Linked DNA regions of Caenorhabditis elegans. The protein of the gene in region 1 purifies or fractionates together with the protein of each later gene. This does not show direct contact. Each region holds a gene or a part of one and is shown in the gene's direction. Other genes may lie near its edges. The genes, in order: rfgp-2 and arf-1.

Evidence for each region.
Region 2: the proteins of rfgp-2 (region 1) and arf-1 fractionate together in Caenorhabditis elegans (co-fractionation; one large-scale study listed by BioGRID). This does not show direct contact.

What each region holds. Positions count from the first base shown.
Region 1 is NC_003280.10:5,426,745-5,431,447, reverse strand, and holds rfgp-2 (ARF GTPase activating Protein), read left to right. Parts: upstream 1-1,875; 5' UTR 1,876-1,880; coding exon 1,881-1,958; intron 1,959-2,044; coding exon 2,045-2,096; intron 2,097-2,141; coding exon 2,142-2,281; intron 2,282-2,331; coding exon 2,332-2,505; intron 2,506-2,550; coding exon 2,551-2,985; intron 2,986-3,034; coding exon 3,035-3,345; intron 3,346-3,400; coding exon 3,401-3,566; intron 3,567-3,622; coding exon 3,623-3,721; intron 3,722-3,772; coding exon 3,773-3,874; intron 3,875-3,966; coding exon 3,967-3,999; downstream 4,000-4,703. UniProt on the Caenorhabditis elegans protein: GTPase-activating protein for the ADP ribosylation factor family.
Region 2 is NC_003281.10:5,714,485-5,718,267, forward strand, and holds arf-1 (ADP-ribosylation factor 1-like 2), read left to right. Parts: upstream 1-1,630; 5' UTR 1,631-1,631; coding exon 1,632-1,779; intron 1,780-1,852; coding exon 1,853-1,963; intron 1,964-2,062; coding exon 2,063-2,271; intron 2,272-2,356; coding exon 2,357-2,434; 3' UTR 2,435-3,060; downstream 3,061-3,783. UniProt on the Caenorhabditis elegans protein: Small GTPase involved in protein trafficking between different compartments. Modulates vesicle budding and uncoating within the Golgi complex. In its GTP-bound form, triggers the recruitment of coatomer proteins to the Golgi membrane.

The sequences.
Region 1 (4,703 bases):
TTAAAAATAAATAATAAAACTAAAATTATTGTTCTCTTTGTTCCATTGCAATTTCTCTTCTTTTCTTTCTTCTCTCCGCATTTTGTCTTCTCTTTGCCTTCTTTTCTTCCAGTTTTTGTTTCAAAACTTGTTCTCTTCTCTTCACTTTTTCAATTCTCAAATGATACAATTGCTCTTCAAATTCCATATCTTTCCTTTTCAATCCTTCCTGTTCGATTTTGTTCTTTACATCTTCATTCGCTTCCTTCACATGCCAATCTTCTTCTATCATTAGTCGTTTAATGCGTCGAGCTTCTTCCTTGAATTTCAGAGTTTGACGATCGACTTCTTCTTTTGATGGGATTCGATGCACATGTCTGGAAATGTAGTCTTATTTCGAAAGTTTTGTGTGAATCTAAGTATACCTGATTAAGAAATAACCACCACAGATGTAAGGAAGGAGCAGCAGATTTTGAAAATAGAGTAGGAGCAATTCAACATAATACATGAACATTTCACGGGTAGAAATTGCTGAAAACGTAGCATTATTTCAACAACCGGTACCTCCCACATATCTTTTGGCAACAATAAAGTAAGCCTGCCTAGGCATAATGAAGCTAGATGCTCACCTATATATTTCCTAGAAGTTTCCGATTTCGCATTCCTTATTTCAAAGCCAAAATGGATGATAAGAATTATATAAAGCACGATAAGATAGACTTTTTTGTAGATTTTCAATGCGTAAAATATGAAAAGTGCAATTAAACCCTGAAATTTTTAAAATTTATTTGCAATTCCATTCGGAAAATCTCTCACATTCTGTAGTGATTTAGTGGCACTTGTGCATGATCTCGTCGAATGGTGTTTATTGAATACCGGATTTATAAGCTCAAATCCATCGATCTTGAATTGCTGAGGCTGACAAACTCTCAAATTTGATCAAACTGATTAGGCTTTTAGGCTCAAATAAGCTACTAACATTATCGAGTAGTATATGGGAATGAAGCTGAAAAATATGAGACCAACTGAATACCAACGAAGATGTAGCTGGAAGAAATCAATTACTCTCAGAAACATGTTATTTGAGCTCACTCTTAAATTGCACTTTGCTTCAATAAAGGCATAGGTTCTTTTATTCAATTGCTTCTCGAATAATGGTTTACCTCATCTTCAACATCTTCCAATTCGGTTTCTTCGAGAGAGTGACCAACTGATTTATCCACTGATTTTGATGCACGTTTACGTGGTGTAACTACCATATTTTTTGAAAATACATTTTTTGAGGTAATTTTTCCGTCCACAGTCGGTCTGGTCGTTTCACGTTTCAACCAAAGGTCGAAGTATAATATTTATAATGTTATTTCACATTTTAAGCAGAGCATTGTGGACTAATCAGAAAGTGAGGCATTTATAACTTTAGTTTCAAAATTATGCTTTAAAATGTATGGTCATCTACAATCACTAGCTGTTATAGACACCTGTGTTTCACTTAAATAGAGAAACTTTCTTTCTGAAATAAATTAATTCATTTCCTCGAAATGCTCGTGAAATTCCGTGCAAAGTCCGCAGCGCGGTGTTTGCGTACTTTCGACGTGTAACTCGCTAAAATTATGTGAAGCCGGCGCAACTGAAAGACTACAAACCAACGTTGAAAATGGCTTAATCGATAGTTTTCAGTTAATTTTTTCACCAATTCTTATGTAGAAATCATTGACCATCATCTCTTATCAGTGCAACAACTTCCTGATCCACTAAGCGTTGAACGCCGATTTTTTTCTCTAATTTGGCAGAAACCGGTTTCTTTTCATTGATTTTATGTTCGCGTACAGCCATTTGACAGCTTTTCCCCCAATCTTTGCAAACATGTGTACCCAAGTTATTGATTTCATTTTTCAGGCAAAATGTCCGACGAAAATGGGCCTTCCAAAGTTGATTTGCAGACAGCAATGAGAAAAATGAGAGCTCTCCCACCGAACAAAGTAAGATTTTCATTTTGCTGTTGATTGAAAAATCTAAATATATATTATCTTGAAAATAAATAAAAAACAAAAACGTATTTTTTCAGCTCTGCTTCGACTGTGGTGCGAGGAACCCCACCTGGTGCACTGTCACATATGGTTCGTATTTCAAATAATTCTAATCACTCATTAAACATTTTTCAGGTGTATTTCTCTGTATTGATTGTTCTGCTGTTCATCGTAACCTCGGTGTTCACCTCACGTTCGTCCGTTCCACCAATTTGGATACAAATTGGACTTGGCTTCAGTTGAGAGCCATGCAACTCGGAGGAAATGGAAATGCGGTTAGTTTATTCGATATGAAACACAACTGTTGAATTCATTTTTTTTGCAGAATCAATTCTTCAAAGCGCATGGCTGCAATACCACTGAAGCTCAACAAAAATACAAAAGTCGAGCGGCTCAGATGTATAGAGATAAGCTCTCAACCCTGTGCCAGGAAGCCCAGCGAAAATTCGGGACTCAATTGATTATTGATACAGTAACTCATGCAGAGGAAAAGCCAGCTGTGAGTTTGACTGTTTTCATACTCGTCTTTATTTATTTATTTCAGGAGGAAGAAGATTTCTTCGCTCAAGATTTCGGTCACACTTCTGCATCTGCTACTTCCTTGTCTTCTGATGCATATATTGCTGATCACAAATCTGAAGACTCTACTCACGGTCCAAGCGTTGATCATCTCGACTCTTCCGTCGCTGTTCCTACCTCTGCTCCAGTTTCCGTGATTCTTAAAAAACCAATCAAGAAAGCCACTCTCGGCGCCAAGAAAAATGCTCTCGGAGCTCAAAAAGTGCGGATTAATTTTGATGAAATTGAGCAAAGAGCTGCTGAAAAAGAGAGACAGACGGCCGCCGAAGTTGCTGCGAACAAGCTTGCTTATCAAACAGAGCTTGATGGTAAGAAAAAATCCGATGATGCCGCTGCATTGCAAAAGCTCAGTGCCAAATTTGCCATGCAAGATATTGATGCTCAAAGAAAGCAAATGGAGGTAGGATTTCAAACAAATGACATTGGTTTTTAAAGTTAATATTTTTCAGGCAAAGGTTGCAAAAGATCCTACAAAAGCCGCTTCAGTCGATCGTCTCGGAATGGGAGGTGTCGGTAGATCCCGTGCCGCTCATTCAGTCGCTGGTGGTATTCGATCTATTAAACAGGATGATGTTCTTACGTTCAAGAAACCTTCACAGCCAAAAGAAGATGACGATTGGGAGGTTATTGATGATAAGTACGGAAAGAAAAGTACGAACAACGAGGATGATTTCTTCTCAAAAGACTATACTTCGAGTAGTAGCAAGAAAACAACAAAGGAAGATGATTTCTTTGACTCATTTGAGACGCAACCTGTGCAGTAAGTGAAATTATATAAAATTAATTTAAAACACGACTTTACGACTTTTTTCCAGAAAATCCCGCTATACCGCATCTTCTTCCTCTTCGTCAACATCCCGTGCACCAACGACTCGCCTGACTGCTGGAGCATCTCCAATTTCGGATGTTGATCTTCAGAAGAAATTCGGAAATGCTAAAGCTATCTCAAGTGATATGTACTTTGGAACGCCTGAAATGGATGTATGTTTTTATATTATTGGTAATATTTTTAAATTTACAATTTTATATATTTTCAGTGTGAAACAAGAAGTGCATTGACCAAGTGTGAAGGACAGACTTCATTTGGATCCGAAGATTTGTGGGGTAACGGAAGCCAGCAACGTCAATCTAGTCAAGTAAGCTCGAAGCTGTCATCGAAATTAAAATATTCTAAATCTAATTTTCAGGTTCCTGATATGTCTGATTTGAAAGATTCTTTCCGTGCCGGAGCTTCAAAGGTCGCTGAGAAATGGTCAACGCTGTCGAGTTCATTCTCTACTTACATGTCGGTAAGTAAATTTTTATTCCAAAGTTTTCTGGAGGTATTGAAAAAATATAAGACAGTTTAAAAATTAAAATAAGTTTATAATCCACAATTCAGCGTGCTCCTCCAGCAACTGGAGAAAAAACATAAATTCCTGGCTTTTAACGGCGAGTTTATCCCATCCGTAAAATTGGTTTTTAATGTTGTTTTCTTTTAGTTTTGTCTTTATCTTTTATTTTTCAACCTATGGGTTTTTGTATTCTCACTGAATTTCGGGTCTTTCAAAACTTTTTTACTTTATTTTATTGAATGTTGTGTGTCATTGGGTTTTTCAATTTCTTTTGTCGTTGTGAATGTTTCATATATCAGTTTTGTTGGGCACAAACTTAAGTTAACTTCCATTCAAAAAAAAACCTTCAAATTGAGAAAATCGTAATTGCAAGCTGTGTAGATTTACTGTAAACAACACACACATCCGGAATAACGGAGTGTCGTAGTTTATTTTCATTTTTTCGAATTTCGTTTTGTTTTAACAATTATATTTTTCTTCTAAATTCCTTAAGAGCGTTTCAATTTTTTTTTGTTGAAAATTGTCATGACTAGCATCTAACTCAGGGAAATTTAAAAAAATTTCTATAACTTGAAAATTCGCTTTGCATTGAGCCCTGACCAAAACAAGTCACCCTCTCAGCTGCTCATTTTCTTATTTTCGTCGCGAGAACGCAAACAAGGATAAACTTGACCAAAAAACACGTTTGTTTACCATGCAAGCTTTGTTTTTTGGTCCGAAATTGGTTTTTAATACGTAAATATGTACCCATAAATACTGAATAAAAGTATCAAAATTAATTCGA
Region 2 (3,783 bases), on another chromosome or scaffold:
TTTACCTGATTCCTTGACAAGTTCCCATTATTTTTTCGTTCATTTTTGTTGTTTGCATTATTTCTATCGATATATCTCATTGATGAAAAAGCCAGCAAAAAAGAGCAAAAGAGAGCAATAACTCCACTAAATGAGAAAAATAAAGTAAAAGAATACATAATGGCTGTGATCTCGAAAAAAAATCAGCGAAAGAATAAAAGACGGGCCACTGAAAAGTGAACGAGTACAAAAAGAGCCCCTCCCGAGTGACGAGTAAAAAACGAGTTAATTTTCAATAAAACACAGGTATTTTTGCGGAAACCGGTGTGTTTTCGTCGTATTTAGCCGTGAATTGCCAGAAAATAAATGATTTTAATTTTTTTTTTCTTTGTTCTTTCTTAACTTTATTCCTCCAATTTTTCTTGCTTCGACGTTGCAATCGTCACATTTTATCTTTGATTTGATCGTCATTTCATTTATTTCCGAATTTGAACGCAAAAAGCTCGAAAATCAAGGTTTGTGACTCCTAATAATTACTGCAGAAAGTAAGAAATTCTCGGCATTTTGAAAGGCGGAAAGATGAACTATCCTAGATTGGCGCAAAGGCATTGATCTATACTGTCTGCGGCGGCCGGTTTCTATTAAGCTTTCATTTTTCTCCAGCACATTCTTCAGAAGCGCCACATTGCTTTAGTCGGAAATGCGGGTCATCTATTTAGAAAGTTTGGCGCTTTGTATTTGATTTAATATTAATTTTCTCATCTGATTCTATTTATTAGTCACAGTATCTCGTGCTGCACTCTTGTGACACGTGTCCTTTTTTCAGAGTTTTTAATTGCGTCACGATTTTCAAAATTTCTCAACAATGCGCTCGCGTTCAATAGGTTTTTCTTCTCTCAAAAAGCATTTTTCATCACTTTCTTAATGTTGCAGTTTATCGTCTTATCACTCGAAAAAGTTTGTTTCAAAGTTCAAATTTTAGAACTTTCGGGTTCATTCAATCAATCAATCAAGATTTCACTGAAGGATTGAAAGATTCAACGTACGGCTGACGTGGAGTCAGTAGAAGGAACTCGAACATTACTATTCTCGTTCCTGTGTGTATGTGTTCTTCATCCTTCCGTCCTGCACTAGCGGACAAATTTGGACGGTCTCTTGTTCTTTTTCGCTCTCTCCTCATCTCTTGCGGTACTTTCACGTCTCGGTCTCTTCACTTATTGCCATCTATCTCCTCTTATTCGACCGCTGCGCAACGCACGCGACGCGCCCAGCGAACAAGACAAAAAGCAGCGTCGAGAGGTTGAGAGAGGAAGAGACACTCCACTGGTCGCCAGAGACTGCTGTGCTAGTGACACGTTGGACGGTGTAGCCGATGTATTTCTGCTGGATTCTCGCTCCTTGCGCCTGTTATAGATATCCATCTCCTTGCCACGTTTTACCCGATTCTTCCTCCTTCCAATCGTCTTCCGTACTTTTTTCTCCGATTGTCGTTGCTGGCATTTTCACGTATTGGATTTGAAATCTTCCCGAATTTTTCGCAATTTCCCACGAAGATTATTGATTCAGCTTTCACATTTTATTAGCGTTCCTTTTCACTTCCATCGGTTCCTCTTCTGAAATTCAATAATTTAATTTATTAATCAATTTATAGAATGGGAAACGTGTTCGGCAGCTTATTTAAAGGCCTCTTCGGCAAACGGGAGATGCGTATTCTGATGGTTGGATTGGATGCTGCCGGAAAGACTACGATTTTGTACAAGTTGAAGCTGGGCGAGATTGTCACGACTATCCCAACTATTGGTGAGTCATTGGGACGTTTTTTTGTTGCGAAAGAACGGTTCACAATGAGTCATAATTTTTATTCATATTTCAGGATTCAACGTGGAGACTGTCGAATACAAGAACATTTCATTCACCGTGTGGGATGTCGGAGGTCAGGACAAGATCCGTCCACTCTGGAGGCATTATTTCCAGAACACACAAGGTTAGTGATTTACGAGAATAGTTTGCGGATCAGCTTATCACCCGCAAGAATTCACAGACTGTCCAAAAAAAATGCTCTATTGATTATATTTTCTTGCAGGACTTATCTTTGTTGTTGATTCCAACGATCGTGAACGTGTTGGAGAGGCTCGTGAAGAGCTGATGCGTATGCTCGCCGAGGATGAGCTTCGTGATGCCGTTCTTCTGGTCTTCGCCAACAAACAAGATCTTCCACAAGCCATGAACGCCGCTGAGGTCACTGACAAGCTCGGGCTCCACTCGCTCAGAAATCGATCGTGGTATATTCAGGTGAGATATTTTTAATCAGCAGTTTCTCATCTGATATTTTAAAACTAAAGAAATTCACTATTTTTCAATAATAAATTAATTCCAGGCCACATGTGCGACATCAGGAGATGGTCTCTATGAAGGACTCGATTGGCTCAGCAACCAGCTCAAGAATAGATCTTAAATCATTTTTCTGAATCCACCTTCGACGAATAAACGACTACGAATCATCCGTTTTTGTTATTCGTTTCAACTCCTTTCTTCTCCCCATTCATTCTCTTTGTTCTTCTCTGTTCCATTTGAAATTCCCTCTCCCATCCCTTAGGCTTTTTAATTTGATCACCATCGCCCTCTTCTACTTTTTCAACCCAATTTTTATTTAAAGCCCCAATTCATTTGTCGTCTATTTCTTCTTAACTTCCAAATCCGACATTTTTTCTTATCCGATTACATTTGGAACCGCTCCTGACGGGAATAATATGTAAGTTATTCATTGTTTTTCTCTCCATTTTTGACCTGCTCCGCCCTCCATCTCCCTCAAATATTCCCTGAAACAGTGTTGTGTAACGAGAAGAAGTATGAACGTGTTTCTCTTCTCTTGTTGAACCATTATTCTATTTTTGTGATTTTTGCGCGTAATTGCACACAAACCTACACACAAATCTCGTTTTCATCGTTCCCTTCCCCTCGAACCTTTAATTTCGCTTCTCTTCTATTTCGTATCGAACACTGTTTTGCTTTTCCTCAATTTTTCCGTATTATAGTATCATATTCACCATTTTTTTTGTCGTGGAGTAAATTATTATGTTATATTCACCTGTTGATAATGACAATATGAAAGTATGAAAATGATCTTTTTCCTCAATTTGGACAAGAAATGTTAATTTTTAAGGGTAATTTATTAACACATGAGGCGTTATACTATGTGCAAAAATTTTTAATACGGAAAAACTAAATTCTGGAATTTCGTATTGTGCAACTTGTCTGGCGCACAGATATCACGTAGCGAAAAATACAGAAATTATTTACATTACTACTGTAGCCATGGTCTGATTTTGCTTTGTTCTTTTTCACTTTTTGACTCGGAATGACAGAAAAAAGAAAAATAGGATGAAATTCAAATATTTCGGTCACAATTCGAAAATAAATTATGTTCTAAAATCGAGCCCGTAAATCGACACAAGCGCAACAGTAGTCATTTAGAGAATTACTGTAGTTTTCGCTACGAGATATTTTGCGCGTCGAACATGTTGCTCAATGCGCATTCTCAGTGTTCACGTAATACACTGAAAATACAGTAATCCTACAGTGCTTCTAATGTACCCTGATACTATTCCCAGACGTATTCCAATTCATAACCTCTCCAAATCACCTAAATTGCACAATTAATGGAACTACAGTAATCCAATTATATACTTACTGTACCCTAATACTATCTCTGCTGACTGAGCAACTATTCAAGCAAAATTTGAATAAAAGGGGAAGTTACGTTAACAATCTCAAGTTTTTATAACGAATAAAACATGATAGCTG